Drosophila melanogaster: one gene and its partners. The protein of the gene in region 3 interacts with the protein of the main gene of each other region in a pairwise test. Each region holds a gene or a part of one and is shown on either strand. Other genes may lie near its edges.

The links.
Region 1: the proteins of CG18081 (region 3) and CG14183 interact in a two-hybrid assay, tested with the Drosophila melanogaster proteins (one large-scale study listed by BioGRID).
Region 2: the proteins of CG18081 (region 3) and Nt5c interact in a two-hybrid assay, tested with the Drosophila melanogaster proteins (one large-scale study listed by BioGRID).

What each region holds. Positions count from the first base shown.
Region 1 is NT_037436.4:20,020,788-20,031,985, forward strand, and holds CG14183 (uncharacterized protein), read right to left. Parts: upstream 7,049-11,198; 5' UTR 6,975-7,048; coding exon 6,239-6,974; intron 6,185-6,238; coding exon 5,860-6,184; intron 5,803-5,859; coding exon 5,513-5,802; intron 5,451-5,512; coding exon 5,294-5,450; intron 5,246-5,293; coding exon 4,982-5,245; intron 4,911-4,981; coding exon 4,753-4,910; intron 4,669-4,752; coding exon 4,085-4,668; intron 4,024-4,084; coding exon 3,919-4,023; 3' UTR 3,900-3,918; downstream 1-3,899. Other genes in the region: kug (kugelei), read left to right, coding at 1-2,261, 2,324-2,605, 2,664-2,852, 3,166-3,195, 3,369-3,500, 3,562-3,698; Lamtor1 (late endosomal/lysosomal adaptor, MAPK and MTOR activator 1), read right to left, coding at 7,180-7,272, 7,328-7,398, 7,458-7,591, 7,859-8,022, 8,085-8,165.
Region 2 is NT_033778.4:9,574,356-9,584,631, reverse strand, and holds Nt5c (5' nucleotidase C), read right to left. Parts: upstream 5,183-10,276; 5' UTR 5,058-5,182; coding exon 4,796-5,057; intron 4,670-4,795; coding exon 4,266-4,669; intron 4,181-4,265; coding exon 3,885-4,180; intron 3,815-3,884; coding exon 3,628-3,814; intron 3,567-3,627; coding exon 3,426-3,566; intron 3,367-3,425; coding exon 3,215-3,366; intron 3,147-3,214; coding exon 2,942-3,146; 3' UTR 2,819-2,941; downstream 1-2,818. Other genes in the region: Smyd4-1 (SET and MYND domain containing, class 4, member 1), read left to right, coding at 399-1,051, 1,107-2,127, 2,182-2,503, 2,559-2,818; Not1, read left to right, coding at 8,128-8,454, 8,514-9,044, 9,100-9,562, 9,625-10,276.
Region 3 is NT_037436.4:15,829,719-15,839,057, forward strand, and holds CG18081 (uncharacterized protein), read right to left. Parts: upstream 5,559-9,339; 5' UTR 5,476-5,558; intron 5,166-5,475; exon of another isoform or gene 5,162-5,165; 5' UTR 5,160-5,161; coding exon 5,016-5,159; intron 4,734-5,015; coding exon 4,644-4,733; 3' UTR 4,077-4,643; downstream 1-4,076. Other genes in the region: dbo (diablo), read left to right, coding at 1-159, 298-487, 553-774; CG12713 (uncharacterized protein), read left to right, coding at 2,810-3,069, 3,138-3,626, 3,692-3,932; CG15715 (uncharacterized protein), read right to left, coding at 6,441-6,530, 7,062-7,205; meru, read right to left, coding at 8,120-9,034.

The DNA of each region.
Region 1 (11,198 bases), 4.2 Mb from region 3:
GTCGGTTGTCATTCGATTCAGAAGGATTTCAGCATCTGAGTTTCTGCTGAGTCACAGGAAAACCTTTATGCGCTCCATTCGCAATATAATGCGATGTCGCCAAAAGGATGTAATTCTCATCACCCTTCAATCGGATTATCAAAAAGCATCACAACATGCTGTGGGTAATCGACGAGCCAGGTCCATTGACTCCGATTTGAACGTGGTGTTTGCAGTGCGAAAGCAGCAAATAATACCCGATTCCGATGAATTCTTCACAAGTGATGAAATTCGGCAGACACTGATAGACAAGAAGAACGAGATTGAAAACGAAACCAACCTGGTGGTGGAGGATGTACTACCATCCACCTGTCAAAGCAACAAAAACGACTGCGTTCACGGGGAATGCAAACAGATATTACAGATCCTGAAGAACAACGTTACCACCACCTTTACGGATGTGATTAGTTTTGCTGCTCCATCTTACATTCCGGTGAATACGTGTGTCTGTCGACCAGGATTCGATGGAAAGCACTGCAAAGAGACTGTGAATGCCTGCTCCACGGATCCATGTTCCCCGCAGAGGATCTGCATGCCGTCTGGCTCGGCTTTGGGTTACCAATGTGTGTGTCCCAAGGGATTTTCAGGAACCTACTGCGAGCGGAAGTCTTCGAAGTGCAGCAATGAGTCCTGTGACATGGGTCTATTCACTGCGGTGTCCTTTGGCGGAAAGAGCTATGCCCACTACAAGATCAACAAGGTGAAGGCGAAGTTCACGCTGGAAAACGGGTTTTCCTACTCCCTGCAGATAAGAACTGTGCAACAAACTGGGACTCTGCTGTATGCCAGCGGCAAGGTGGACTACAACATCCTGGAGATCATAAACGGAGCTGTTCAGTACAGATTCGATTTGGGCTCGGGCGAGGGAGTCATCAGTGTGTCCAGCATTAACATCTCTGACGGCGAGTGGCATCAAATCAGCCTAGAGCGGTCCCTCAATAGTGCCAAAGTGATGGTGGACAACAAGCACGTCTCCCATGGCAGTGCTCCGGGTGTGAATGGCATCCTGAACATCCAGTCGAACGATATCTTTGTAGGCGCCGAGGTTCGTCCGCATCCATCGATAATTGGCTACGAGGATATTCAGCGTGGCTTCATCGGTTGCATGGCAAACATCAAAATAGCCAAAGAGTCGCTGCCATTGTACATTTCCGGTGGGAGTACCATTGCTGCCTTGAAACGTTTTACGAATGTCGAGTTCAAGTGCGATCCGTCGAATGTTCTGGTGCGCCTGGGCATTTGCGGATCTCAGCCGTGTGCCAATAGTGGAATCTGCAAGGAACTCGATACGGACGTGTTTGAATGCGCCTGTCAGCCCCGATATTCCGGCAAGCATTGCGAGATTGATTTGGACCCTTGCTCATCGGGACCCTGCTTGTTTGGCGGCAGGTGCGACTACCACGGACCGAACAACTACAGCTGCACGTGTCCCATCCACTTATCCGGAAAGAGGTGTGAGTACGGCAAGTTCTGCACGCCGAACCCGTGCAAAAACGGTGGCATTTGCGAGGAAGGCGATGGAATATCGCACTGCATGTGCCGCGGCTACACGGGACCCACTTGTGAGATCGATGTGGATGAGTGCGAGAACCAGCCGTGCGGCAATGGAGCGACCTGCATCAATGAACCCGGAAGTTTCCGTTGCATTTGTCCATCTTATCTCACAGGAGCCAGCTGCGGCGATCCCCTGTATTCGAACTCTATTTCTACAAAGCTGAAGAACTTTTCTATAGAGCACATTAGCGGGATCATTTCCGGCGTGGCCGTGGTACTGGTCATCATCAGTTGTGTCCTGTGTTGCGTGGTGTTGAAGAGGAGTTCCTCTTCAAAGCGAAGGAACCGACTAGAAAAGGACAAGAACAAGTCGTCGTACAAGGAGGCGAACTTGAACTCACTGGTGGACAAGGACAATTACTGCAAACCAAACGTAAAGTTGAGTAACTTGGAGGTTAACCAGCGTCCAATTAGCTACACAGCAGTTCCAAATGACAACCTAGTCCTGAGCAATAGGAATTTTGTAAATAACTTAGACATCTTGCGTAGCTACGGTTCGGCCGGCGATGAACTGGAAAATGTGCCATTCGAGTACCAGAAGGTTAATCGAAACAAACAGCATGTGAACATAAACTCCTGCCATTCAACCGATGCAGATAATGCCTACAAACAAGAATGGTGCGAGCAAATGCATTTAAGAACCTTCAGTGAAAATAAACTGAACAATGGTAAGTCAATGCCTCTTAGTGTCAGATAGCAAAAGCAAATATTAACCTGCTCTTTATTTCAGAACTTAAACGGGATTTCGGACCATCTGTGAGTCGCTTTTCAACTGGGAAACTAATCCAAGTTGAAATGCCCAACGTGTGCCACTCTTCCAGTGCGAATTTCGTTGATTATTCAGCTCTTGCCAATGGTCAGTATCATTGGGACTGTTCCGACTGGGTTCGCAAAAGCCATAATCCCTTGCCAGATATAACCGAAGTTCCTGGAGCAGAAATAGCTGATTCGTCGAGCTTACACAGCAACGATAGCAACGAGTCCAAGTCGAAGAAAGCCTTTTTCGTGCACAGTAAGTATAGAATTTAAAACTCGTTTCCCGGACCAATAACTGATTTCACCACCAAAAGGGGAAGACGGAGATGTTGATCCGACGAGGGATATAGCCGCGTTGAATGAGGATATCGGATCGGAGTATTTGGACTCGGAGGCAGAGAGCTGCTTGGAGCCGTTTATGTTGCCAAGATCAAGTAATCAGCCACTTTCAAGACTGAGTTCTTTTAATAATATCGAGAATGAAGACTATAAATCAAATACAGGTAAAACCCTTCGTTAAAATGTTAAATGCATCTAATAAAATACAAAAAAAAAAAAAAAAAAAAAAAAAAAGGAATTGATTATTATCACTAAACGTTTTCATGTTTATGTTCATAACAAGCTGATTTATCTTATTGGCTGTTACAAAATCGCAGTTCATTTTTCATTTTATAATTTCAACAATTTATTTAATACATATTGCACACAATATCTAACTCTTTCCTCTTATAAGTAATTTTGTTATTCCTTTAAACTTTCTAACAAATAACATCTTTGTATACTAACCTATTAAACTACTTCATTTCATGCAATCAGTGCCTTTACCGTCGAAAGTTAGTCATTCGTGTAAGTTTTGTATTCATTATAAGTAATAGTCCAATGGTTATTTATAAATTTAGGTCAATGCTTTTTTTATACTGAACCTGTATTAAATTAAAAATATTTGTTACTGCATATTAACCACATAAAATGTTACAAGAATCTTACTTCAAAATGTCCATATCTGATCTATTCCACAGGCAAAGTATATTTAAGACATCCTGATTCGTATTTACCGACGATGCATTTTCCAAGTGAGACCGATGGGGAAAGCTCTATGACCGAGGGGCCGATTTCTAGGATGGAAATAAAAACCAGGAGGACGATAAGTGGTAAGCAAGGGAAATGCCTTTACATATCTTACAAATATCACGATTCTCTCTAATTATGCAGAAAATTCAGAGGAGGCATACCTATTTCCATGCACTGTCGGAGAAATTGGATCCAACAGCAACATTTCGGTTCGACTGTGTGAAATTGAAGATTCTGAGTTGGAGGAGTTTTTACCACAACAACAAACAAACAATTAAATGACATGCTTAATATATAAGAACTACATTTTACACAAATTATTTCATTTCGTTAGATACTATTTTCCATAGGAAAACTTTGGTTATATATTTTCAATAAAAAAGACACAAAGAACATCTGCACTTCCATAGTATCATTAGTTTAAGGCCAAGGTAAGTTTACACTTACAAATAGTTATATATGAAAATGCATATTTAAATAAGTTTTAAACTGATTTATTTATTTCTTTTTGCTTGCCTTCGCCAACTTTTGAGCCATATACGATTTTCTCAGCTTTTCCAGCTTGTTTGAGCTGCCGAACCATTTATTGAACTTATCCATTATCTAAAAAGAATTTCAGTTAAATGACTTAGTTGCTAAACATGTATTAAGTAAGCAAGTATACCTTCTCATCTGGAGGGAAAATGGGAGGCTCATTCTTGCTCAGGAAATATTCAAGGAACTCGTTCGGATCCAATGCCTCATTCTTGAGTCGCATCTTACGGTCGATGTTCAAGGTCTCCTTAACGTTATCATCAATGTCGCCGGAGTTGTACGCCTGAAGGACGCGTGCCAGTGCCGAGTAGGCGTACTCCTTCATGTCATCTGGCGCGTTCTCGGTCATCAGTTCCAGCCACAGCAGGAAGCTAGTGCCGTAATCGCACTTCGGAATAAGCAGTACTTTTTGGAACGCTCGCTTGATGCCTCCATTGGCCGCCCAGGGCATGTTACTCGTGCCGACTAGTACAATTTTGTCATTTTTCTTCAGTGGTTTCAAGATCTTGCTAGCTAACGAGGTGCCCAGCAGTCTGGGGTTAATCTCCACTGCCTCAGGCGGAACCTTTTTCCAAAATAGTCTATGCGCTTCCTCGATGTACATTATGGTGGGCTGAAAAGCCTTAGCCACTTTTAGAATAACATGCAGGAAGTACTTCAAGTCTTTGGCATATTTGTAGGTATTCTCGGGACTTAGGTTCATAAAAACTGCATCTGGAGTAGACAGAAGGTTTAAGTGCTCCGACAAAAAAAAAAAAAAAAAAAAAAAGAACAATTCCCAACAAAATGTTACTATACCTAGTTCGGATGCAATGATTTCACACAGCAATCGTTTTCCGCTATTCAGAGGTCCAATTAGCAAAAGAGACTTCGGCTTCGGAACATCGAATTCGCCCATTCCCAGCATCGACTCTTGGATAACCATTTTAATGTCACCCTTTGCTGGGCCCAATGTGCTGAATTTTAAATCGATATTAATTTTTTTTGTTAGGCTTAGTAGCTCTTTCAACAAATAACTACAACATACGTTAAGCCATCTTCATCTCGAGTGTCGTCTGCCACAAAGTTGAAGTCCGTTATGAACTCATCAAAGTCCCTATGACCAATTTCCTCTATTATGCCGGCATCTTTGAGCTCATTGTACAGGGATTCCAGTGTCCGATCGCCTGTCATGTCCTTGGGCTTCTTCTTCCTCTTCTCCTTCTTCTTCTTAGGATACTTCACCTTGAGAGCCTTGTACTTCTCATCGTTATCCTTCGCCAAGGCCTCCCGCAGCAACTCATACTCAACCCTGGAAGTTGAAAAGTTATATTTTCATTGTAAATATAAATAAATTTACCTCATGTATTCGTCGACCAAGCCCCTCACTTCCTGATGAATCTTTGCCAGTTGCTCCTCAGTAACCCATTCCTTGATGGGATCATGATTCTTGTTTAGATATTCATCGACATTTCTCCAGTCCTTGGAGTACTTCTTCATTGTTTCTTCAATGTTTTCTAAAATTGAAGAGAGTATTTGGAGACAATGGAAACATTCTCCATTAAGTCAAACTATCTACCAATTGCCTTGCTTGCAGTTAGCTCGTAGCCAATATCGATGACTCCAGCGTCTCTCAATTTCTTCCGACGTTTAGCTTCCTTCATTTTCAGTTGTTTTAGCTTTTCCTTCTTTTTCCTTTTCTCTTTCTTCTCCTTATCGCGAAGTTTCTTCAACTCGGCTTTTGACAGCGGCTTTTTACCAAGGCTTTCCTGAAATTCCATTGGCGTCATTGTTTCATCAATGACAACCAGTACCGTTCCTTGTTTTACAGGATCGGGATAAGGATGAAAATTCCCAGTCGCGTCGTAGCTGTTAAGTACGAGTTATACGTTTTTGCCTTTTTTGCCTCAATGAAAAACAACTCACAATTCCTTGAACCATGCCCGGATATGATCGGATATATCTTCCATCATCCATGGACTTCGGAATTGCAGCAATCGGGTGCGCTCATCGTTGATCAAGTTGATGAAGTCCTCATCCAGCTTCTTCTTGAGCATCTCGTTCTTGTACATTTCCATAATAGAATTTGCCGTCTGATTGGGTCGCTTCAGTTTCCTAATTTTCTTCATACCATACAATTCCTCCTTGAACCGCTTCCTAATCTTAACTATTTTCCGCGTCTTGTAACCACGCCAACAACTTTGGATTTTACAAGCAGCATTGTTCTGTATTGCACTTAAGGCTTCCTCATCTAGAAAATAATTAAAAACCAAATTAATTGTTTTGAAACGATCTAGCTACTTGCCATCTATTGCGGTATCCGCTACATCATCCTTTTTGATAAGATTTTCGCAGGACTCGTCCGCCTTCAAGAAGTCAGCTGAAAAAATGGTTCTCTTCACGGGAATACTCATTGCCTGATCAGGCTTAAAGGTGAATTTGTAATTTATTTTCTTTCTTTGATGGACCTTGAGGAACTTTTTCTTGTCGTACTTTATGTTGGACTTGTAAACCCGAGCTCGGCGCGCCCTCTCGTGAGCTTGGATAAGCTTGACCGCCTCACTGATCGGAACCCAATCCTGGGCTGCCTTTTCTTCCTTTTCCTCATCGTTCATGTACAATCGGTTGTCGGCAATGATATTTTGAATGTCCAACGGGCGACGGTAAAGGAATTGTGGTGACCTCCATACGACCAGGTCCCGTGGTGTTAGCTTCCTAGCGATCAGCGCCTTATCTATGTAAATGTATTCGCTCATTTCCAAGTCTTTTAACTCCTCCTTGAGTTGCATTAGCTGCTGAGTGGCATTCTCCACCAAAACACGTACCAATGCCCGCTTTTGCACTTGGAAAGTATTGTGGTATATGAAACTTAACTTATTGACCAGCTCCACATACAAAACATAGAGCTCTGCGTAAATTTTATACGATACTGCCTTTTCCTCTGGCGGCTCAATCTTCTTCAGGCGGTTCTGCTTCTTGATTAATTTACCAATTTCCTTGCGCGTGTAGACCCAAAATTTATGGTTAAGATCGAACGACATTTTGGATTTTAGCTATATGTGTGTGTGTGTGCCTTCCTAAATAAAAAAAATGTCTTGCCGTGTTAAGAATATAGTATGTATTTATTTGCTTCTGTACACTTAATGAAAATAAGTCGATTACCTGGTTATTCAAGGGCTACTTAGTACCAATATAGATTTTGATTTTATATAAATTTATCACTTTATTTCACTTAAGATACGATAATCAGGGAATCCGGAAGGGAACAACCACGGCCTCTTTGTGGTCGATCTGTATGTGCGAGACACTGATGTGTGCCTTCTCGGTGAAGAGCTTCATCTAAAAACATACGAAATTGGTAAGCAACAAGCAATTTGCGAAAAGTAAAACTCACTTGAGCAGTGTCATCTGGATAGGTTGGCTTAGACAGATAGAACTGATGGCTTGGTACATCTTTAAGGAGACCTGTTGTTCATTTAATTGTTAGTCATCATTCACCCTTTCAATCTAGCTATATTGCAAACCTTTTGGTGCGATACTGGCGTGCTGGCCGTTGTTCCACTGTTGATGCAACCGCTGCGAGTACAATCTTATTCTATCGGCGTACTCCTGGTGCTCCAGGCTGTGACAGTCCATGGCTCCAACGTTTATCATGTTTCTGGAGAGCAAAGTAGCGTATAAGCGAATACAAATATAATATAGATAAGCGATAATTAGGGCTGTGTTGCTTTGTTGCATTGAACATCCCGATAAATGCTTGGGTATAACCATACTACATACTAGATCCTGCCATCGCTATAACTACGTAGGTATACTACTATAGTATAGTATAGTATAGCAATCGCTGTAAAATGCTAGCATTCCAATCAATGGAATTGTATATGATAGTGCCAAATGTGGACCCTATACACTATCAACTACGTACATCGCAGTATTCTGCACCAGTCTGGAGAGGGCGTTCTGATCGTCCTTCTTGGGAAGGGAGTGGGCGTAGTCGGTGCTGAGGCCATCGGAGTTGCTCCGTCGAAGGGCAGGACTATGGTTCACCGGGTCCACGAGAAGGTGTGTCCGCTCGTTCGGCTCGTTGGGCTGCAGATGGAACGCATTGTGTATTCGGTCTGTTGACGGGGAAAGGGGAATGTGCGGATTACCTGCGCACCTGGATCTTCGGTGCATTGCCAGCAGTTGCAGATCGAGGCTAGGTAGCTCCAAACAGAGTGCACATACTCCATTCTAAATGCAATTGTTCAATTGTTCTTTATTTTTTATGCAAGTTTTTCTAGGGATGGAATTGTACATATTCGATAAGATCAGTGCTACCAGACAGTTTAAAACAGCTGTATACATACTTGTTATCGATTAGGCGCTAAATATTACAATTTTAATCGGACATTAAATTCATGGGTTTTCATAAGGGAATACTAGTTTATTACTTACTGTTCCTAGCGTTATCCTTGTTTTATTTATTATGAAATACTTTTTATTGGGAATTAAGTTGATTTAAATTTATACTTTATTAATTTGTTATATTTTTATTGGAAATCGGCAATAATTGTGAAGATATTAAAAAATTTAACTGCTTTTGGTAGACATCAATTATTAATTTGAAATATTTATATTGCTGTTTTTTCTATCAACCTATATGACATTTTCCCCAACAGCCAGCCCACGAGAACGAGCACATTCTTGATTGATGAAGATGCCAAAATTTCAGCCAACGGAAGTTGCTTATCTCGTCGCTTCCTTCGTGCCAATCAAATGAATTGGGCCGCACATTTTTAATTGTGTCGCTCGAGCAGTAAGGACAAAGGATGCGGAGTACGCCAGCTACTCGCAAGGAACGGAGAACGCCCTTAAATCAACGACGCGGTTAACCATGATGGCGAAAGCGGCGAGGCGGAAACGCAAATTCATTGCCGAGGCTGCATGACATGGGGGCATGTGTGGCAGTGCTGACAGCTTTTGCTATCCTTTCCACAAGAAGAACCTCTGAAAAATGTAAAACCATAATAACATAATGTGTAATATTGGGGTTTCTGAATGGGCTGATGTTCTTCGAATATCTTACGTAGAGTGAAAAAGTTCAAGATTCATAAGAATTTAAAACTTAATATGGCCGTTAAAAAACAGTTTTTCTCTCCAATACGGTCTAATTTATTGAGTTTTCCCTTCAGTTTGTTCTTCTGTTTCCGCCGCCTAAGTGAATTTATTGTCTCCTCCTGGCAGCACTGATGTGGGCCTCGTCATCGCATCCTGATCCTTTGCGCCACCTCCAGACCCGGCACCATGCCCATATATTGAGCCAGACGCACACTCACACTTGCTGGCAACTTGTAACTTCGTTTTGCCCCGCTTTTGTTTCCGTTCCCTGGCAGCGGAAGCCGGGCTAGAAATTTCATAACTGCCACAAGGAGCAGCTTCACTTCAAATTCAATTATCCTGCGCCTGCACACGGCCCCAAAGGATATCGATCAGTACATCTAAGGAGGTGCATATGTCTGCGGCTTGCCGACCGGGAATAGGCATCTTACATCGTCATTTTGCGATACGCCATCTAAGGGATTTCCTTCGAGGATGTTGGGTTTTATCTAGACAGCTCATTAGCTGAGTAAGTCCATTGTTTTTAGATTTATGATGATATACTAACCAGCCAGGAAAACAAATATTATATACAAATTATGCATTATACATAAAATTTTTTTAATAAATTATATTTATTTTTTATGCTAAGAGCATTTAGCATTTCACTTGTGAGGAAACACTATATTCAGTATTTATTTAATTTGATGGCTTTGCAAAGTTCAATTTCTGCTAGCTCATTTGGTCTGGATGGGCGTGGTTCGGCGGAACTGTAGGCAAAAAACCTCAACCACATTAACGACTTAATGAGCACCCGCGAAGCAGTTTGCCACTTGATTGCCCACGGGGTGGCACCAGTCGCCGCTGATTGGATTCAGCTGGTGTTTTATCTAGGGCCTTCGACTTCCAGCCAGTTTCAGGTTCAGAATTCTCCGGCTCATTGTTGCATCGACAAAGAAACGCAGTTTACATCGAATAGCTGCGGATTATCGGAGCCACGCCCCCAAAACCCATACCCTCGTCCTGCCGCAGAAGTGCGGCACCACAGCGGTTTCAGTATGCAAAGCGCAAGGCATCCGGAGGCCACATAGTCCTCCGTCCACCTCCACTTCGGCGGATAAATAGTGCCGCGCAAACTTACAGCGGGAAGAACAACACTTTTATGCACAAGACTTTACATTTTTGCTGGGCGGACGCATCTGCAAACTGCGCTGTAAGAAAGTTAGGGTCGATATATATACTGGATTTGAATTAATACTCTAACAAGGATTTGTTCCCTTTTCACTTATGTCAAAGGTGTTATACTAGATTTGCTTATAATGCATGAATCCGAAATGATAGAGTCTATGTACTGACCATATGACATCTAATTTTCTTTCCGTGTAAGTTGTGCGTCCCACAACTCCAGAAACTTTTTGCCCCAGATTGTCGGTGTTGACTTGGTTAGCAGTTTGGCCCTTCGGCGAGCCTTTGCATCTGGCCATAAACGTCGGGGGAGGCGATAAAGTTGAACCTGATTATGCAGCTTTATTAGAGGTGAACGATCAACTCGGAATGGCCCAGAAAAAAAAGAGAAAAAGCGACTCTTGCAGTCATTAAAAAATATACAAATATATTGATATATTCTATATTATATAGTAGTATACCCTACAGTTCCACAATTCATCGCAACTCAAACTTATAACTTATCCCAAAATCGGGAAAACAATTAATCTTAAAATCATCAATAGTTTTCTTACAAACAAACTGAGAGGTCGAGATACATACTTCGTGGCGATTCGCTGCTGAAAACGTAATGAATGTAACTGCAGGGTATATAATCGCTGCAAACCAAACAAACATAATGTAAAATATCGATCCCAGTTAACTGGCTTACCGCATAAACTCGTATATAATTCCCTCTACCCTTTAAAATGTCACACATTCGTGCTAAATTCATAAACTTGCCGCTGTATCGGGTTTAAGCTGCAGCTGAAATACGACAAATGCTTTTGGAATGCAATTCAATTTCCTTTTTTGGCCAATTCGCGTCCTCGGCGATGTCGCTATCGCCGTATTTGTTGGCCTTAATTTTGCAGGAGCGATTCGCCGAGCAATCTGTTCCATTTCTGCTTGACATTTCACTTAGCCCTGGCTTAATTCCCGATTGACACGTCTGGCTTATTTTGGTACTACGCACTGCATTT
Region 2 (10,276 bases), on a different chromosome or scaffold from region 3:
GGAGAGGTGCGATAGTCGCCGGCAAATCGATAATTAGCTAATCTGGACAACTTTTCTTTTTAGGAGAATCAGAAATTATTCCACTTATGAATAGTTAATTCTTTTTCTTGGCTTGGGTTTGTTATGTGTCGAGTGGCCGAAAGATAATCCAGATTTTGATATAACCCGTGATCATAAAACATTTAATTTTAATAAGTTAAAAGTTTTCGACGACTTTATAATATCCCTTGATTTCAATAGAATGTGAAATAATTCCATAAGGAATAGAACTAACTAGGGAAATAGAACTTAAATTTTGAAAAATAATCGATTCTTTAATTAGCGGCTACTCGAAAAGCACCTAAAATTCACCAACCGCATGATTTGATTTTTGTAAACAATTTTTGCAGCCGGTGGACATGGAACGTTTGGCAAGAACTTTCTCCCAGCAGAACGAACTGATAACCCTGAATGAGAACTACAAGGATGAGTTCGAAACCTTCAAGTCATTGGCATCCATGCCAGCGGACATTCTGCAGATATTCCAGAAGCTGGCGCTCGACTTGCTGCAGGATTTGGAGCAACCGGTTGACAGGAAAGGATGCGCAGAACGTTCGAAAAATCTGCGCGAGGAGGGAAACCTTATGTTCAAAGAGTCCGCATCGGGATCCTCCAAGGACTCGGTTCTGAAAGCATGCAGGCTTTACTCGGAAGCCGTTTTCGAGGCTGAGAATGCTGTGGAAGAGCTGTCGCTGGCGTTTGCCAACCGAGGAATAGCTTTGCAGGAGTACGGGTACTACAGAGAAGCCTATGACGACTGCTCCAATGCGCTGGAGTGCGGATACCCGGAAAGGCTGCGGCACAAGGTGATCATGCGGCAGGCCTTCTGCGCCTGGAAGCTGAAGAAGATTGCTTCGCTAGAGGAGCATTTGGATTATCTCGGGCAGCTGCAGCTTAAAGAGAGCTTTGAGCAGCAGCTGGAAGACCTGAAGCAGAAACTGGAGCTGCTAAAGAACCAACCCAGAGAGCAGGAAACACAAGGGAAAGTGGTGGATAAATCTCTAGGGGAAATGTAAGTTTCCAAATCGATTCTGGCCACTTCTTAATTTGTAACCTTTACTTCTCAGCCTTACAGATCCTGGTCCCCGTGGTCGATATATGGTGGCTAAGGAAGCGATTAGCAAAGGCAACGTAATCTTTTCAGAGCGCGCCTCCTGCTTTGTTCCATTGGAGCAACTGCTTATTTGCCAGCAGTGCGCCGCCACCTTAATGAGCGCACCCATACCCTGCCCCAATTGCCATCAGCGGGTAGTCTACTGCTCTAGGAAGTGTCGGGAGGCGCACTCGGCCATCCACAAATTCGAGTGTGCCGCCTACAGAAAGGATATCCTCCGACTTTTGGGCATTTCGCATTTGGCCTTGCGATTGCTTTTGACTTACATTCCCTACATAAGGCCTCATTTGCAAGAGATGACCAGTGCAAAGGGTATGTGGGAAGAAATAATGAATCTGTCCCGAAAACCGGAAGAGAGTGAAAACGCTCCAGAGTATTTGCGAAGCCTGCGCATGGTCAGTCAACTGGATCAGGCTATCGATGAGGAGTTAAATTACCACATCCTCTGTGCCAATCTCCTTCAACTTTACCTGAAAGAGCACACCGATTTCTACGATCAGTTCCACTCATTGCCAGCCAGCATTGAAGATTGGCAACTGATTATATCAGCACTGATTCTGCGCTTCGCCGGCCAGTTGCTGGCGAATGGGCATGTAGGCGATGCGTTGCTCGGAGTTGGCATGGAGCCAAAAGAGTTTGTCATGCTGCAGCCGGAGTTGTGGCAAAAGCCTCGACACCTGAAACGCGGCCAGCTGCACAATCTATCCCACTCGGATCCTATCACGGCTATCAATCTGCCCTACTTGAGCTTGTGCAACCACGCCTGCGAACCCTCAATTCGCACCAAGTTCGATGGATGTTCCGTGGTGAACTACGCTGCAAAGGACATTCTAGAAGGCGAAGAGATCTTCAATTGCTATACAATGGATTACAGAAACAGTTTAAAGCTACAACGATCTCATCCGCTCAAGGCCATCTACAAATTTGAGTGCACATGCGCTAAGTGCACACGAACTGATCCCGACCAGAACTATGTACGTTTTCAAACCAAGCAAAGCCATTTGTAAATGTCTTTCCCAATCTTCCAGCTTTCTTTTCATCGTTATCGCTGCGAAAAGCCCAACTGCCGACAAGAATTTCTGCCAGACGCCAAAGTTCAGCAGAATAATCTTCGCTGGTGGCTGAGATGCAATGCAGAGAAACCGATTACTTGCACGGTGTGCCACGAGCTTCAACATTTCGCCTGGTACAATGAGTTCCTTGGACTCATCGGCAGCAGTGCCGATTCGTCAAAAAGGCAGGCGCTGTTCAAGGCATTCGATGATCTAGACAAGTGGCTTGTGGATCACCACAGCTTAAAAAGAATTATGGCCGAGGAACTGGTAACAGCCTGTTTTTATGAGATAGATGGTAGGCTACGGCTGGATTTTGTTACGTCGTAATTTATAAACCTCTACTTAAACAGGAGGCACTTCATTGGATGAGTTTGAGTATGAAGATCTGGCGAGGATTATCCGCAAACAGCTGGAAGGCATTGCTGCGCAGTGTGGCGATAACTCAACGGAATACATTGCTCGCATGACCTATTTGTGGGATATCATAGCCCAGAAGAAATGCCGCACCGATAGAAAGGAACTGCTAGAGATGAAAGGTAAGGTGGATTATCTGGCTAGCGAGCATCGCGAGGTTTTCTTGAACTATTACAACGATTTTATTGAGCAATAATGTAAATAACGATATACACGCATTAAATTCGCTAGTTTCGAGCTACAAGCATTAAACACTGGCACTTCTTGTTACCTACAACTAATCTGAGCTTCCTAACGGGCATTCGTCCCCACAAATTCTCTAGATAAAGTGGGAGGCATATTCGTGGGGCATTACACCCCGTCGGGGATAAAAGGTGTGGGTGGTGGAGAACTTGAGCAGGTTGGTTATGTCGCTGGTGTAGATGTCGGCAAAGCGGAAGAGGCGTCTTGAGAAGTAAGTGGGGTTGTGGTAGGTGCGGAAAACGCTGCCAAACTGCTCGTTGAACACGTTCTTCGTTTTGTTGCTGTCGAAGATTGGATTCGGATTTAGAGATATTATCGTAAGCCACTAGATAAATGTATATTTTCTTACCGCAACTGATCCCGCTCCTCCATCCACTCCTTTAGGCAGATCTGCGCTGCCTCGCTATCATCGTCCTGGGTGTCCTCGATGAGCTGCGTCAGCATTTGCAGCCAGTTGGCGCTCATCTTGAAGTCCTTACGATTGAGGGTTTTAATTTCGTGCTGCAATACGAAAATACCCTTAGAGGCAATACGATAATTGCTTGATATAAAACACCCACAGCCAGTTCGCTAATAATGGCTCCTGTCCTCCAGCTGTGCTTCAGAGTAACATCTGCTAGGTCGCTGTACGGATGATCTCCGAAATAGAGCACAGAGTGACCACGCCAGCCCTTCAGCTCTTGAAGCTGTCTCACCGAACCCTGTGAAGAACATCAGACAACAGGGTTGATTACTAACCAAGTGGGAATGGGAAACCCTTACCTCGTAGTAGATTTTTCCCTTCTCCAGCTTGAATACCCGATCCCATAGGTGTGACTGCGTTCGCTCGTCGAATAGCCTTATTGGTCGAGATTCATCCGTAAAGAACTTTGGTTTGCGGGCCTGCACGATGACCACATCGAAGAAATCACGCCAGTTGGCGCCGACCAGAAAGGACATGCCACAGTTTCTACAAATGCAGACATAACGATTTCGTAAATTTTAATTGTGGTAAAATAAAAGATGTCACATTCCCTTACACAAACGAGTACGGGCTATTGGTGACTAGAAAGAGATTCTTGCCCGCCTGCTGCAGCTTCTCGAAGAACTTGACCAGCTTCGGGTTTCGTTCTATGTACTTCTCAGTGTTCCGCATCACCTTGCCGTGCATAATGGGATGGCAGGAGCCCATGGCGGTCCTGGTGTCATGGAAAACAATCTCTGGATTGTAGTCGATTCGATTGCGTTCAAAATATTCGATTACATTGCACAGCAGGCACATTTCAGGTACAGAAAACAGGTCGGCCAATTGCACCATTTTGGAGTTGGTGTTATGCTGTGCGAAAGGAGATCGTAAATCACTGATTGCTAAACACAAAACCCAAGCGTAAGCCGCCAGGTGATAAGATATCGATACGAACCCTGTAGCTATTGTTCGGCCCCTCCACGTAGGCAATAGGCAGCAGGCGGTTGTGGTAGAGCTTCAGCACCTCATCCGCCTCCACTTTGGTACGTCCCCTGTATACCGAGCCCAGCTGTAGCTGCAGGAAACTGTCCAGTTTCACCAGCAGCCCCTTTTCCACGTCGTAGTGCAGGCCGCGTACCGCAAAGTTCGGTTCGTACTCCAGCTGGAGGATGTCCTCCGGGTAGCGGAACCTCTTCACCAGCATCTCGCGAGCCAGATTGTACAGCAGGTCCTCCAGGATGGGCTTATAGCAGGCCAGCGTGTAGTCGTAATCGAATCCGTACACCTGCACCTCGCTGAGATCGAGCTCGTTGCAGGCGAAGACCGCATCTGGATGCACATCGGAGGGCAGCTTCTTGGCTGAAAATGTCAAGTGGTGCGAAACGGGAGGGTATGTTACTAATGGGACCACTTTGCGGCTGGGTATTTATAGATCGTGCACATACTACGCATATATGCATATGCCTGCGACTGGTTGAGGCTTACATTGGAACTTCTTTTTGGTGGCTTCGTGAAGCTTTTGGAAATCACTCACTGTTTTTGGGTGCGAGATCTGGGCGGTTGCAGCTGGAGCGGAAGCTCCAGCGTCCGACGCGAAAGCGCGCGCCTCGAAACTATAGTTTGGTTTGCACGGCGAGGGGGACAGGCTGGAGGAGATGGGGTCCCAGCTCCGGAGGACACCACCAGCTCGCAGGAGCACATTCTGCCGAAGGAGAGCACTGACGATGGGACTGCCTGCCGCGCACATTTAACTGACTGCTTGCTAAATTGCCAATTAAGCCCGTTTGTTATGTACACTATGTGGGGGCGGAGTGGGCTGCATGTGGATGGGGCGGGGTGTGACCGGACGGAGGGCCCCCAAAAAATACCGACTCGCGGTTGGAACTACTGTGGCCATATGCATATTCAAATTATTGAACCCAACATTTAAAAAATTGTAAATATTATATAATAGGTTAATAATAAATTACCTTTGCGGAAACATCTTTACGATAAACATTAAAATAAGAAGTTAAAATTGCTTGACGCTACAAGATTAAGCAATTGTGTTATTCTTATTTATTATTGATATTTATTTATTAAGGCGTAATTTATGTATTAGCATTTGAATTTATTGTATATTTATTACTAGTTTAAATTTAACGGAAAAACATCGGCTATTTATCCGTTACTAATCGGCAAGATTTGCCGCCGTTTTTGGTAATTCAAAAGAGTATTACAGCTTTTCTGGTATAAGTTCCACATGGCGTTATGGATTTCTATATTTTAATCACAAACCCGTGATTTGTAACACTATTCGTTGTGAGTGCCAAGCAGTAGTGACTGAACTATCGGTTGCTGAACACGCTTCCCAGGGAATGCAAAATTTTCATTTCGGCAATAATTAAAAAATCCACGAGTGCAAACAAATTTGAAGTAATTTTCCTAGCATACATATACAAACGAGCCCAAAAGCTAAACTTGAAACACCAAAGCAACCGGAAGGAAGTGGAAAAGGAGGTCGACGACGATCAGCCATATATTCTGCCTCAATTGCCCGTGTGTGCGTGCGTGTGTGTGGTAGTAGTAGTATTTTTTCATTTCTGTTTTCGCTGTACGTGCGGATTGATTCATATTGTTTCATTACGTGAGCTATTGCAATATTGTACACACTGGGCCGAGGACATAGCCAATCGGATTTTTCTCATGAAACCATTAAACCGAGTTTAATGTTTATTTGATTTACGCGTAAATAGATGCCGCCTGCAATGTAGAGCTGCTGATGGCCCCTTTTATACGGGGGCCGCGGCCAATGAATCTACAGACCCAAAAAAGAACAAAAAAAAACCAAGGAAGGCAGAGACAAAAACAAATTGCGCCGTAGGTGAAATGAAAAGCGCCAAGAAGCAACAGCGAATACGTCAAATATCTCTAATCTCCAATACCAGTGCACGCTAAACGTGTGTGCTGAACAAAAAATTCTGGTGGCCTCCAACAAAAACAACAGCAACAAGAAACATCCGCTGAGGAATTGACAACTGATACGTAGAATTATGAACGTAGAGAGCCAACTGAAGACACCGCCAACGCACATTCGAAATCTGGTCAAGCACGTGAACAAGCGAAATTTTAATGAGAGCAGCGAGCAAATAAATCAGGTAGGTGCCCAAGTTATTCTACCAAAGTTTCCATGAACCATTTCCAATTCATTTTGTCAACAATAACAACAACATTTTGTAGGGGGCGGGGGTTTAGTGTTGCCAAACCGACAACATATCGCACCTGGCCAACCAGAGTTGCCAATTGTTCGCACTCACGAATGGGCTATTGCCATTTCACTCGCTCGTGCATTTTTGCCGACGCCATTACAGTTTTTTGGTAAAGGCAGCTGAAAAAATTTCTCTGCACGGCGTTGCGCGTTTTGTGAGCGTTTTGTTTAAGCTAAAAGTTTTATAGAATGTGTAAAACCAGGCCAATTGTGTGCGCTTAGCCACAAACGTGTTTCGTGAGTTGATGGCAGTGTGAATTTTGCAGCGTAGTAGTGCGAAATCGAATTGCGAAATTCGAATTGGGAAGCCCAAGCCAAGCGCAGGGCTTTTCGGCCCCGAAACTTCTGTTTTTTCATTGCCAAACGAGAGAAACCAAATTGAATAGTAAGTTCGTGGGACAAATTGCGTGGGAATATCAATTGCGGCCGCTTTCTTTTCGCTAGAGTTGCAATATGTCGCACTTTTTCCTGTGACCCCCTTCCTTTCGCGCACCGTCATGCTCTCTTCTCTCCTTACCCATGTAACGTTTCGCCAACGTGTGCGAGCGAGAGGGCGCGTGTGTAATTTGTTGTGGAGCAGCTGCGACGGCGGGGCCAAAGCTGTTGTCTCGCTCCCCCGTTCGGAGTGAGGCCTTGATTCCGGACTCCGAGCTCCGGATCAAATATTTCAACAGTTTTGGATCCGTAGGGAGGGAGGGGGATATCTAGCCTCCTAGAAAAGTTTTGCCATTCAAATTAGTATCATAACAAATACTTGGCTTAGAATGGCACCATTTGCCCAACAATCCCCTAAAAAGTAATCGTTTGTGGGACAAACTATGCTACAGATCCCGTTTTCTTGACAGTAAATGGCATATTCCTCAAAAATTAAAAAAAATGATAAAAAAAAATGATAACAAAACAGAGTCATATACTTCAGTATTTTGAAATTCTCAACAATCTATATCTGCCATTTAAAAAGCCTGATAAGTTTTCAAGTTATTCGAACTCAGTAGGATTACCAAATTTTCACTGATATTCAATGTTGGAATGAAGTACTAGGATAACCCAACGGAATTTATAGTAAGAAAGGTCTAGGAATTTGTTGGATTCCATGGAGAAATTATCGGATAGAAAATACATTAACTAACTTAACGATAGCCCAATTTGAGATATAGTCTTCCATTTAGTTATAGCATTCAAGATAATCTCAGAAACCTGTGAGCCCAACAATGGTGCACCTAAACTGGAATTCCCAATGATAAAATTCATGTTTTAACCCTCTGGTTGCGCTTTTAAAAAGCCAATTGGGTAAAGTTTTTAAGCGGGCAAGAAATAATGACTTAATGGATTTACTTTTGAAAACAGTTGCCTGGAGTTAGAAATAATCCCTCCAAAATGTTACTTTACATCTTGCCCTGTATCCGTAAACACATATCCAATTGTACAGAGAAAAGTTGAGACACTCACAGAACATAATAGAACCTGTCAAAATTTCCAAGTTTGCGATGAAAATCACATAAAAAAAAATCCCGGTCACCGCAGAATCTGAGGAATCGTTTGAAACATACACTGTCCCTTATACAGTGATATGTGTCCCAGATTGCGGGCAGTCGCTGTCAAGGCACTTATATTGGCTTCCAAACCCTACGCAATGCAGCTCTTTGATTCTAAACCATACATTACTGATAGCATTTACGACATCTTGCAGTTCGTTAAAGAGCACGGCCTGGAAGCGGATCGCAGCAGCCTGCGCCACCTGTTCTCCGTGATCAACTTCAGCGATCTCGTGCCATCAGTTACGGTCCAGCTGCAGGCGAAGCTCCTGGGCATCCAGTTGGAGCGTCAGCTTCACAGTTCATCGTTTGTGTCCAACATCTGCTACGCTTTTGACCAGTTCTTCGCCAGCAACCAGAAGGTAAGTTGAGTTTACAATGCCCACAATGTGTTGATTACTTATGGATACTCATTCCTAAGCAGTCCCTGAAGCCTGTTGCGGTAGCGGATCTCGTTGGCCAGGTCGCCCGACTGACCGGCATCAACAAGGTTTGTGAGTGCGTCTTTGCCTTGGCCTTGACCCACTCCTCGTACACAGAACTCAAACATTCTGCCAGGAACAACCTAAAAGGTAGCCTCAGCGAACTTATAGACTCTTACTTGGGTAATAAAGGCACCGGCCCAGCCGACAGCGGTCTCCGGGAGATCTCCTTCGATCTACTGCAGTATTTGTTGTGCTGCCTTAGCGAGTACGTACAACCGCAGGTGGAAGCACAGTTTTTGATCAAGCTTCGTGAGGAGTTTCCGCGCCAGGCGGTACCGCTGGTTCTAGCGCCGTTCCTTTACGGCTCGACGACGGCGACGATTGCGGGAGCAGGTGCCAGCGAAACGGATGCGGAGGCCGAAGCGACGACTAATAGCAACAGCTCCAGTTTCGAAGCAGATGCTTTGAACGAGGTGGGAATCGAGGATATTTATGACCATTTAAGCGAGATAATATTCACCAACCAGGTGCGTAAGACACTCATTGAAAAAGACAATTCGCTAATTGAATGTTGTGTTGCAGGGCAAAAATAATATTATGGACACATCTTGGATTAATCTAATCCTTGAAATCGGTTATGAATTTACATCGAGCGTTGAAGAGTGTAAGAATCATTTGTGTTCCCGCGAGCGAGAACGCGCTGAGCTCCAGTCCAAAGATGTCGCCAAGATCGTGGGTCTTATGTGCCGACGGCACTCCTCCCTGCTCGATTGTAATGTGAATCTACCGACGCCGGCGAACTTCTGGCCTGGTCAGGGACAGGGCGGTGGCAGCAACAGCAGTGGCTCTTCGCAGACACAAATCACTCCGCAGCAACAGAACCCGGGCAGCAGTAACAACAACGATGGCAGCGATGGCAATTCGTCCAGTGATAAGAAGGACAAGAAGGAGACGACGGAGGCCACGCAAACTTGGAAGCCAGATGTCTTTGTGCAGGCGCTCAAGGAGGTGGTGCCTCAGCTCAACTGGAAGGACGTGTGCATGGGTAATAGCTAGATAATTGCTTCGCAATCGCCAATCTATAGGAATATCATTCTTAATTTTTAGAACTTGATCATCCCGAGTTCGTGCTGAAGGATCGCATCGGTTTGGAGCTTTTGCTCACCATCCTTCGGCTGGCCACTGGCTCTAACATATTTCCACATCCAGAATGCATTTACCGTCACTGGGCAAACACGGAAGGTCAGCTGTCGCTTATCGCGACAATGCTGAAGAACCCGGATCTCTTTTCCTTCGCCGACTTTGTATTTAGCCAGCCAGCGTTGGATGTGCTTAAGACGGCTCCGGATGCGGACAATAAGGAGATCTCGTCCTGGAAGTCGCTTCACCTGGTGGAGGTGCTGCTCTCCATTGCGGACAAGGGATACTATACGCAGGTCCATGAGCTATTCAAGTTCCCAGCGCAGAACTGTCCCGATGTGCTATTTTTGGCCTTATTGAACACAAGTCCGCCTATGACGCCACTGCGTCAGGATCTGTTTAACCAACTGATACCAACGTTCCTTGGCAACCATCCCAACTCGAACGTGATCTTGGCCAGCGCCTGGAGCTCGAACAACTTCCAACTTCGTTCCAATATCATGAATGCTATGTCCGAGTGGTATCTCCGAGGCAATGAGTTCGATCAGGTGAAACTGTCGCGCATCCTGGATCTTGCCCAGGATTTAAAAGCGCTATCAGCGCTGCTCAACGCCCGTTC
Region 3 (9,339 bases):
GGAGCGCTACGATCCAAAAGAGAACAAATGGTCGAAAGTGGCACCGATGACAACAAGGCGACTGGGAGTGGCGGTAGCCGTGCTTGGAGGATTTCTCTACGCAATTGGCGGCTCCGATGGACAGTGCCCGTTGAACACCGTAGAGCGATATGATCCCAGGTAAATCATAAATAAAGCATTTAAAAGCTTTAGACGTACAAGTACATTTTCTATCGCTTGTAACAAATGACCTTAATGTACATTGCACTTGAACGTAGTATTTGTTTGATTTACATTGCCCCGATTTTATCATTACAGACACAACAAATGGGTAGCAGTCAGCCCGATGTCAACGCGACGCAAGCACCTGGGCTGTGCTGTGTTCAATAACTACATTTACGCCGTCGGCGGGCGAGACGATTGCATGGAGCTCTCGTCCGCCGAGCGCTACAATCCACTGACCAATACCTGGAGCCCCATCGTGGCCATGACCTCCCGCCGCAGTGGGGTGAGTTTTTGTTACACTTTTTCTCGGCGAATAGTATTGTATTAAATGAAATCGCACCATTTTAGGTTGGCCTGGCCGTCGTCAATGGACAGCTGTATGCTGTGGGCGGCTTTGATGGTTCCGCCTATTTGAAAACCATCGAGGTCTACGACCCAGAGACGAACCAATGGCGTTTGTGCGGCTGCATGAACTACCGCCGACTGGGCGGCGGCGTGGGCGTTATGCGTGCCCCTCAGACTGAGAACTATATGTGGTGCGAAAATAGTTTTAAGCAACCGAATTCCTGAAACTAACTCAACTCCCATCCCTTCCATTGCTGATGAAATGTTGTCTTGTCTCTCTTTTCCCCCCGAAAACATGCTAACAAATTCAGGATACGGAAAGATTCTGTTGTCTGATGGGAACAGCAGCCGACAACGTTGCCCTCGCAAACGTTGCCGCCGCCGCACTTCTACTAACAATATCCGCAATCGAAGCCAAATCTAATCGACTAAACAAAACATCTTTTCGCCCCATTGTCTACTAGCAGTGTAATCGCTTTGTATTAATTGTTAATTGTTTATTTGGTAGAGCCTAAAGCGCATGTTTGTTAGACTTTTCCGGAATAGTATTAGAGTTAGCATTGTTCCCACGTTCACCTGCAATAACACATCCCCATCACTCCTGTGCGTAATTATATATGATTCTACTGTATGTTAAGCAAGTATATTTTATAAATAACTTAATATCTAAATGTTGCCGGTGGTATTTCATGGAAATCGCTAGCTCATAACCATGCCTTCTTTCGAAAAAAACAAAACAAAATCAAATATTAACCTAGAAACGAATTCGATTAGTTGTAAATCCTTAAACGAAGAGCTCTAAAGTCAAGTAACAAATTGGTATTAAAATAATTTAGATTTAAGGAGTGAATTCAAGAAAGTTTGTCCGAAATTAAACATCACAATGGTGCAATATTTCGATCGACCAACTAAACGCTGTTGTTTAGTCAAGTACACTTTAAATCTTTGCAAACGTCTTCAATAATACCACGACTATATGAAGTGAACCGAATAATTGCAAAGAATTTAAAAAAATAATGAATATTCAGCCTGTCAAGCTTAAAAAAAAACCATTAAGGTAATCACACACACACACAATGAAGAAGTTAGACCTAGCCCAAGATAATTCAATAGTAACAATTAACAATTACGCAGCCGTAAGATCAACTTTAAGGTAATAAATTTTAATATTGTTAATCCTAGATCGTGTAAACCGGTAAGAGTTTTCGGCCGGAATCAGGTCAAGTTTTAAGATGACTTATTGTTAAACCAAGTTTGACCATCGAGCTGAATGAACCAACTCGAATTAATCGCTTAGATAAGGGAGTTAAAACACAAGTAGACTCTCAATAACAACACATTTTCTTTGTTGCCTTTTACACCAACACTATTAAACAATTATTTATTCAAAATTATTATTTATTACACGCTTTCGTATCTCATTTAGTTTATTTTAGGTGCACATTTATAAACTGTTGTTAAATCGAGCAAAAAGGAATGATCTTTGCTTCCAAATGATGAATAAGAATAGCATTTATAAAAAACCAAGCTTATTTATATTATAGCTTTAAGTCAAAATGGTCAACAATTATACAAAAATTCGCATACCACCCATTATGCGTAGTTAAAAAATAACATTTCCTAGTTGTGTTGAGTGGTAAAAGTGCTTAACGCAAATAATAGAAGTGTTAACCTAAGAAATGATCGTAAACCCGTGCTATGTATAAGAATATATAAAAATAAAAATATATCAAAATTAAGACACTTTGTTTCATTCAATACATTACAGCCAAGGGCGGAAATTGCTGCCAAAAAATAATTAAAAATAAATATCCAAGTGTACTATTTTGTATTATATTCTATAATTTATAAATTTGTAATGCAATCAATGTACCGTTACGCGGTACTGGTACGCATCGGTACAATAGTTACGATATTGGATCCTTTACCGATAGCCGATGCTCGAACCCGATTGTTTTTGTTTTAGGCCTTAATTCGCACACACTGATTTGGTGGCACTACACACATTTTGTTATTTTAAACATTTTTCAAGAAGTCAATATTATGATAACAATTTTATGAAAATAATTGAACTAAATGCATTCGGAACATTTCGATATACACTGCCGACCAGTGTGAACGCTTCGCGACGTGGAGAAACTTCAGGCACGTCAGCTATCGATAAATTAAAATGTGTATTCGATTAGCGTACGTTAAACAGCTGTTTATTCTGGCGCTCTTTCATACGTTCGCTGAAATAGTTTTGTATTTCTGGCCGGAAATGATGTCCCAAATTCCGGATTTGGCCGGCGGAAATGGGCAACAGAAGCGAAAGATTCTGAGCGGCGGCGAATACAATAAGATTTGCCGGTTTATCAACGGCTTCCACGGCTTGGCCATCGACTGCGAGTTCGAGTTGAGGAATCGCTTCTTCAGGGACGTGGAGCCAATGGCATTGACATGCATCCTGCAGTCGGAGCTTTTTAACCGGTCGCGTGGTCACTGGAAGCAGGATCAGCGCGGGAAAAGGCTTCTCAAAGCGTAAGGCCACAATCTCGTGTTCTTTCCTGACACCATGACCAATAATAATCCAAATTGCTTGGATTCAGCTACGAGGAGCAGAAAAACCTATACTACGACAATGCCCTACTGATCCGAATGGCTTGTGCCGAAGCACTGAACCCGGTGGCTCTCTGCAGGATGTTGCTGCAGGAGAAGTACAAGGATCGGCATCGATCGCACATCTCACAGCTTCTTAGGCATCCGCATCTTATCGACGATCCCAAGCTGGCGGCCAATGTGCAGCAGTGCATAGTCAGCGACAATCAAGAGGGATCCATAACGGACCTGCGACGCCGCATAGTTGGCGAGGAGTACGAGCTTAAGCTTAAGAATCTGGCTAAGGAGGCGGGTATCCATTTCTACGACGAGAAAGATTTGCGACGCATGGGATATGACAAGACGCCGGACATCAAGATGATCCTGCCATTTCTTTACAAAGGCTCTGTGATCAACTGGATCGAGAGCAAGGCCAATTTTGGGGACACCAAGGGACACAAGTCGAACATCCAACAGCAGCTGCAAAGCTACTGCAATCGGTAATATGAAAGAATTCATTCTATAACTATTCTAATTACATATATATATATATATATATTGTCAGTTTTGGTCCTGGAATGATAATCTATTGGTTTGGGTACCACGAGGAAACGCCTGCGCTGCCGGATAACAACATTGGCATTACAGTACTCGCTGATTTTCCGGCAAAAGAAGATTTGGTTTTTATGCAACTCGCGCATGAAGAATACTCCGCTGAGACTCCGACAACGAAAGAGGACAGCAGTTCCGGGAGTCAACCTATTGTAGCTGAATGTCCAACCAAAGAACTGAAAAAACTTTCATGAAACTGAAAGTGCAGGGAAATCGTTAATGTATACTTTTTAACTATAGAACGAAATGTGCTTGTTAAAACAATGTACATAGAAAGCCTAAATTTTAAGTGGGATGTTGCCAAATGTTAAGTAGCATTGAAACCATCAAAGACAGGAATGCTTTGCATTTATACACTAACCATAAGATTAGACAATGCTTCTGCAGCAATAACTTTTCTCTTTAGTTTTAACAATTATACTGTTTTTATTGTATTTATAAATTCTCATTTACATGATGTATTCAAAGGTTTTTTAGTAAAAAAATCGTATACAAAACTACGACATTGTCAGCATCGTTGTTCATAATAGACCAAATCAAAGACAAAGCACAAGTAATTATTGTTACTCAAATTGCTAGTTGCCTTTCAGGGAAAATAAAAATCAAAACAAAAGTATTTATTTTACTATGTGTAAATTTTCTTTGTATTGTTGTGGTAGCCATATGTGTTATTTTCAAAGTATAAACCAAAAGTCAGCAGTGTGTATATAAAAAATTCAGCTGGGCCCTTAGCTTTGGAAACTATGTTCTAACTTTACGCGCCCTCCTCTCATCGACTTAAATGTTGATGTTTGTTTTGTCGGGGCTGTTGTAAAGTTATTGTTTCAAAAGTTTCGTACTGGTAGGAAATTCGTCGATTTCGATCAGCTTGATATATTTATATATGCACGCAGCCACATCGGTCATCAGACCTCCTTCAGCTCATCGGGCATGTCATTCTTGGGATGCTTGTTCTCGAAATGCTGCTTGTAAGTCTTCGGATCGGGCATTTGCGACTGAAATGGAGACGAGATTCGATTAGGTTTCAAATAAACCACAAAGTACGAGTAATAAATATAAAATAAGGCATTACTATAACATTCATCTGAATCGAATTCTTTAGTTTAAAGCTCCTGAGATGTCGAATGTTTTGCGATAAATTTTCTTTAGTATTTGCGTTTTAAAACCTCGACGTTAAAGTAAGCGAGTTCTTGCGTGATTCTTCGAGCTGTCTCAAAACCATTTGATTAACCCACTGCAGTTGCTGACTTAGGGAGGTTTCACTGTAGCTGGCTTACCTTGCAAACGGCGCACACATAGACAAGTGCCTTCTGGGCCGCCTTCTTCTGGTCGTTGGCACTGTGTCCTTGTTGCTTCTTTAGTTTGGCCTGCTTCTCGGAGGCCTTCGCCTGCGACTGGATCTTCTGGTGTCCACGTGCCATTTCTTGCTGTTTAAGTGGAAATGGATGAGTTAGCATATGTAGTAGTACCGTCTATGTGCTTCACGGGATTCGCAACAAAGGTGGCGGAAGCGCAGTCACTTTCACTTTCTCCCACACAGCTGAATAGGTGACTCTTGGGATTACCAAACGGAAAGCACAGTTTCCGGTCAGTATACTATAGTTAAGATACCAATTATTTATGTTTTGGAAAATCTGACACGACACTGTACTCGAACAACAACAAAGCACGCCCACAAGTGAAAATGTGGATTGCGACCACGTTCTGCGCCCTTTTTGCGAATCCACCGCTGCTTACCTAATTAACCCGATTAAATTTGGTTGGCTGTACTAAATGCAGGTGTGATGCAGCCTTTGCAGTTACGTAAAATTCGTTGTTACAAACTGTTTTGATTTTTTACCCGAAATTATTAACGATTAACCGTAAATTTGTATCAATTTGTCGGGTTTTGTTTCGCTGCCAGGATTAAATGGGACCAGAGCTGAACTATATCCAAAATGTTTGGGCATAAATATATGTGGGTTCGCGTCTTGGACTAACAGCTATCCTGACTTAAACCACTTAACGGTACTCGTAATAAATTTTCCTATTTCTAATTATTTGTATAATTTTTAAGCATTTCAACATTTTTATTTTTCGTAATAAAATAAAAAAGTATTTGTTATATGTTCGTAATTTAAAAATATTACCTACTCCCCCGAAAAAGTATTATTTTTATCTTAAACTAAAAGCACATCTAAAATAATATTTAAATAAATTATTATATTATAACAAATTATATAATTTTAACATTTTTATTTATAAATTGTCAATTACATAAATTAGTTATAGTACAAAAAGATTTATTTTCTTTCATTTGTGGCATAATTCGTATAAAACTTTCACGTGTAAACAAAAATCCAAAACGGAGCTCAGAGTATTTATGGTGTTTTAGATATCTTCCTGTGGCTTAGGCAATAAATATCAAAATTAAACAATTTCTATTCATTTTTTAAGGTAGGTAGGTGTCTTTGTATTGGTTTAGCCACACATCGAACAATCGCATACTGTGTTAATTTCAATGTATAAAACAAAACCAAAATTCAGCAGTGTGTATACGAAAAAACTGGCATTTGTATATTATTATTACGACTATTATCCATCCTCTTGGCTTCGGCTTGATTGTGGGCTTTCTTCTTAGGGCTGATGCAAATTTATTGTTGCAAATGTTTCGTACTGGTAGGCAACTCGTCCATCTCGTTCAGCTTAAAGTGAAACGATCATCAGACCTCCTTCAGCTCCTCGGGTATGTCGTTCTTGGGATGCTTGTTCTCGAAGTGCTGTTTATACGTCTTGGGATCGGGCATTTGCGACTGAAATGGAGGCGAGATTCGATTAGGTTTTCACCCAAATTGTTATCCACATACATAAAGGAACTAGGGGTGCAAATATAGCAACTTGAAAACAGTGATCGTATATCAATATGTTATCATTTAAAGTAATCAAATATCAGCAGTGCTTGGTCATCACTTAATTTAAGATAACGTTGGACAAACATATTCATTTGATATTGGTAAATATTCATGTTCAATTAAATTAATTTGAATTACTTACGACAACAAGTAAAAGCAGTTAATGTTAATAAAGTAGGAAGTGCATATAAATTGAAATACTTTTTTTTTATACACTCAAAAACATGGGTAAGAGCGGAAACTAGTGTTAAAACAATATCACAAGTAAAAGTGTTTCTGATTATGATAGTTTTAAGGAGCACTACATTTTGTTATTATTTGAGTTGACTAATAACTCCATCATACAGAAGTTAACCTTCTGGATGAAATGCAATAGGCACTTTCAAACTCTAGTTTGTTCGCTTTACAGAGGCTTCACTGTAGCTGGCTCACCTTGCAAACGGCGCACACATAGACAAGTGCCTTTTGGGCCGCCTTCTTCTGGTCGTTGGCACTGTGTCCTTGTTGCTTCTTTAGTTTGGCCTGCTTCTCGGAGGCCTTCGCCTGCGACTGGATCTTCTGGTGTCCACGTGCCATTGCTTGCTGCATGCAAATTCGAATGCAAATAGAAGGGTTAGTACGAGTGGATTGCAAAAAGGTCATTAATCATCTGTGGCCCAAACGGGATTTGCAACAAAGGCGGCAGAAGCGCAGTAGCTTTCACTTTTTATCCCCACCCACTCAAAAAGTAATAGCAGGAATTACCAGTCACCAGAGAGGATTTTGCTGGATCTGTGCACGTCTATCGATAAGATATTAATAATGTTTTAATCAAATCCGTTGCGTTACTGTACTGCAACAACAAATCACCACCACCACTACTGAAAATGTGGATTGCGACCACGTTCTGCGAGCCACCATTGAACTTACCTAATTAAGACGATTAAATTTGTTTGGCTGTCCTAAATGCAGGTGATGCAGCTTCGAATTTGAGCAAAACTCGTTGTAAAGTAAGTAGTGATTTGCTACCCGAAATTATTGACAACTTTTCTTAAAATACTTTTAATTTGATGGGTTTTGTTTTCTGCCAGGATTGAATGGGACCAGAGTTCAAATGTATCCAAAATGTTTGTCCAGAAACATATGTGGGTTTGAGTCTTTGATTGACACTTACCCTGACTCAAACCCCTTAACGGTACTCACGCATAAATCGAAAAAAACTGTCATTTTAACAGTTGGGAGTTTTAAGAATTTAAGATTAAGATTATTCATATGGTTATTGAACGTTTATGATAGTGAAATAGTAAAGTAGATAGTTCAATAAGTTTGTTCCCTAAAAACACACTACCGTTTTAAAATTATTTAAAACTTGTATTATTAAGTAATTTGAAATCATTAATCATTAACAAGTCTTTCAAAAACACAACCATTAAAAAGTCTTAATTTATAATGCTTATACAAAATGTATATTTATTTTGGTAGAAAACTTAACAAGTTACAAATAATTGCAATTACACCAGCATACTGGCATTATTATCGCAAAACTCGTAAATATTATCAACAAACTGCATTTCCTGCGTATTTTTAGCAACTTGAGGGGTATTTTCATTTTCCTGTAAGGGATGTGTTATTTTTGCTGCGCCTTTTTTACAGGCGGCATCTGCCTCCGATTCCTCCAACGTCAGACGCTTTAAGTTATTAATCAGCGATATATCATGTTTAATTTCATTTTTCAATTCGAGAAGTTCGTGTTCAGTTTTAATAATGTCCTCGGCATAGGCTTCGATATTTTGTTGCAACTGCCCGACCGATAGCTCCATTTCCGGTCCCTTGTACCGTTCGTTCTGCAATCGGTACAGTCGGCACATTTCCGATAGCTGACGTGTTAGAGCGTGTTCCTTTTCATAGCGAACATTCATATCGGCATGAAGAGATGCCAACTTATATCGTACACTATTTCGCAAGGGCTTATCCTTTCGCCTCCTTATGCAGTTATTAACATTGTAGTTGTTGTTATTGCATTCGCTGGGAATCGCTGTTCTAAATGTTTCAACCGAGGCTTTGGTTATCTCGTGACGACTTCTTCTTCGATGACGCTGCTTGCTGACGCGATTCTCGGCCAGTTTATAAAGTTTGGATTTGGCAGTGTTTTCGGTACCCCTATACAGTTGGTCTGGCATTATAACCAGCACCAAGTCATTGGTCATCGTTTGCTTTTGGCCGTGCACTCTCTTCTCCTTTAATTTGTTCGGCACTTTTGGAGGCGTTTTTGTGGGTTTTGGTGGCGTCTTTTTACCCTTTTTCAGATGCAATAGCTTCTTGAGCCACTTGTACATCGAAAATCCCGTGGCTGATTGTGAATGGGGCACTAATTGCATGGCAAGGGGATCTCTGAAACTATCACGATGTTTTAAGGAGATGCGGAGCTGTAAAAAAACAGGAGAAATAATTATTTATTAATGAATTGAAGTTCGTTAAAAACTTAAAAGTTTATGACTTCTTGACCATGTTTTACTCCTCACTGTATATTGTTCTTATTTACGCCACAAATTGACTATTTTTTTATTTATACAAAACAAGGTAAAACTAAATATCCCACTTTATGATTATATTGTCATTAATACATCTCTAACAATAAAACTACCTTGGCGCTTGTTTTTAACCCTTTCCATCCATTAACTGGATAAGATCATCAAATAACAATTAGGAGTTCCTTTTCCTCGAATAACAT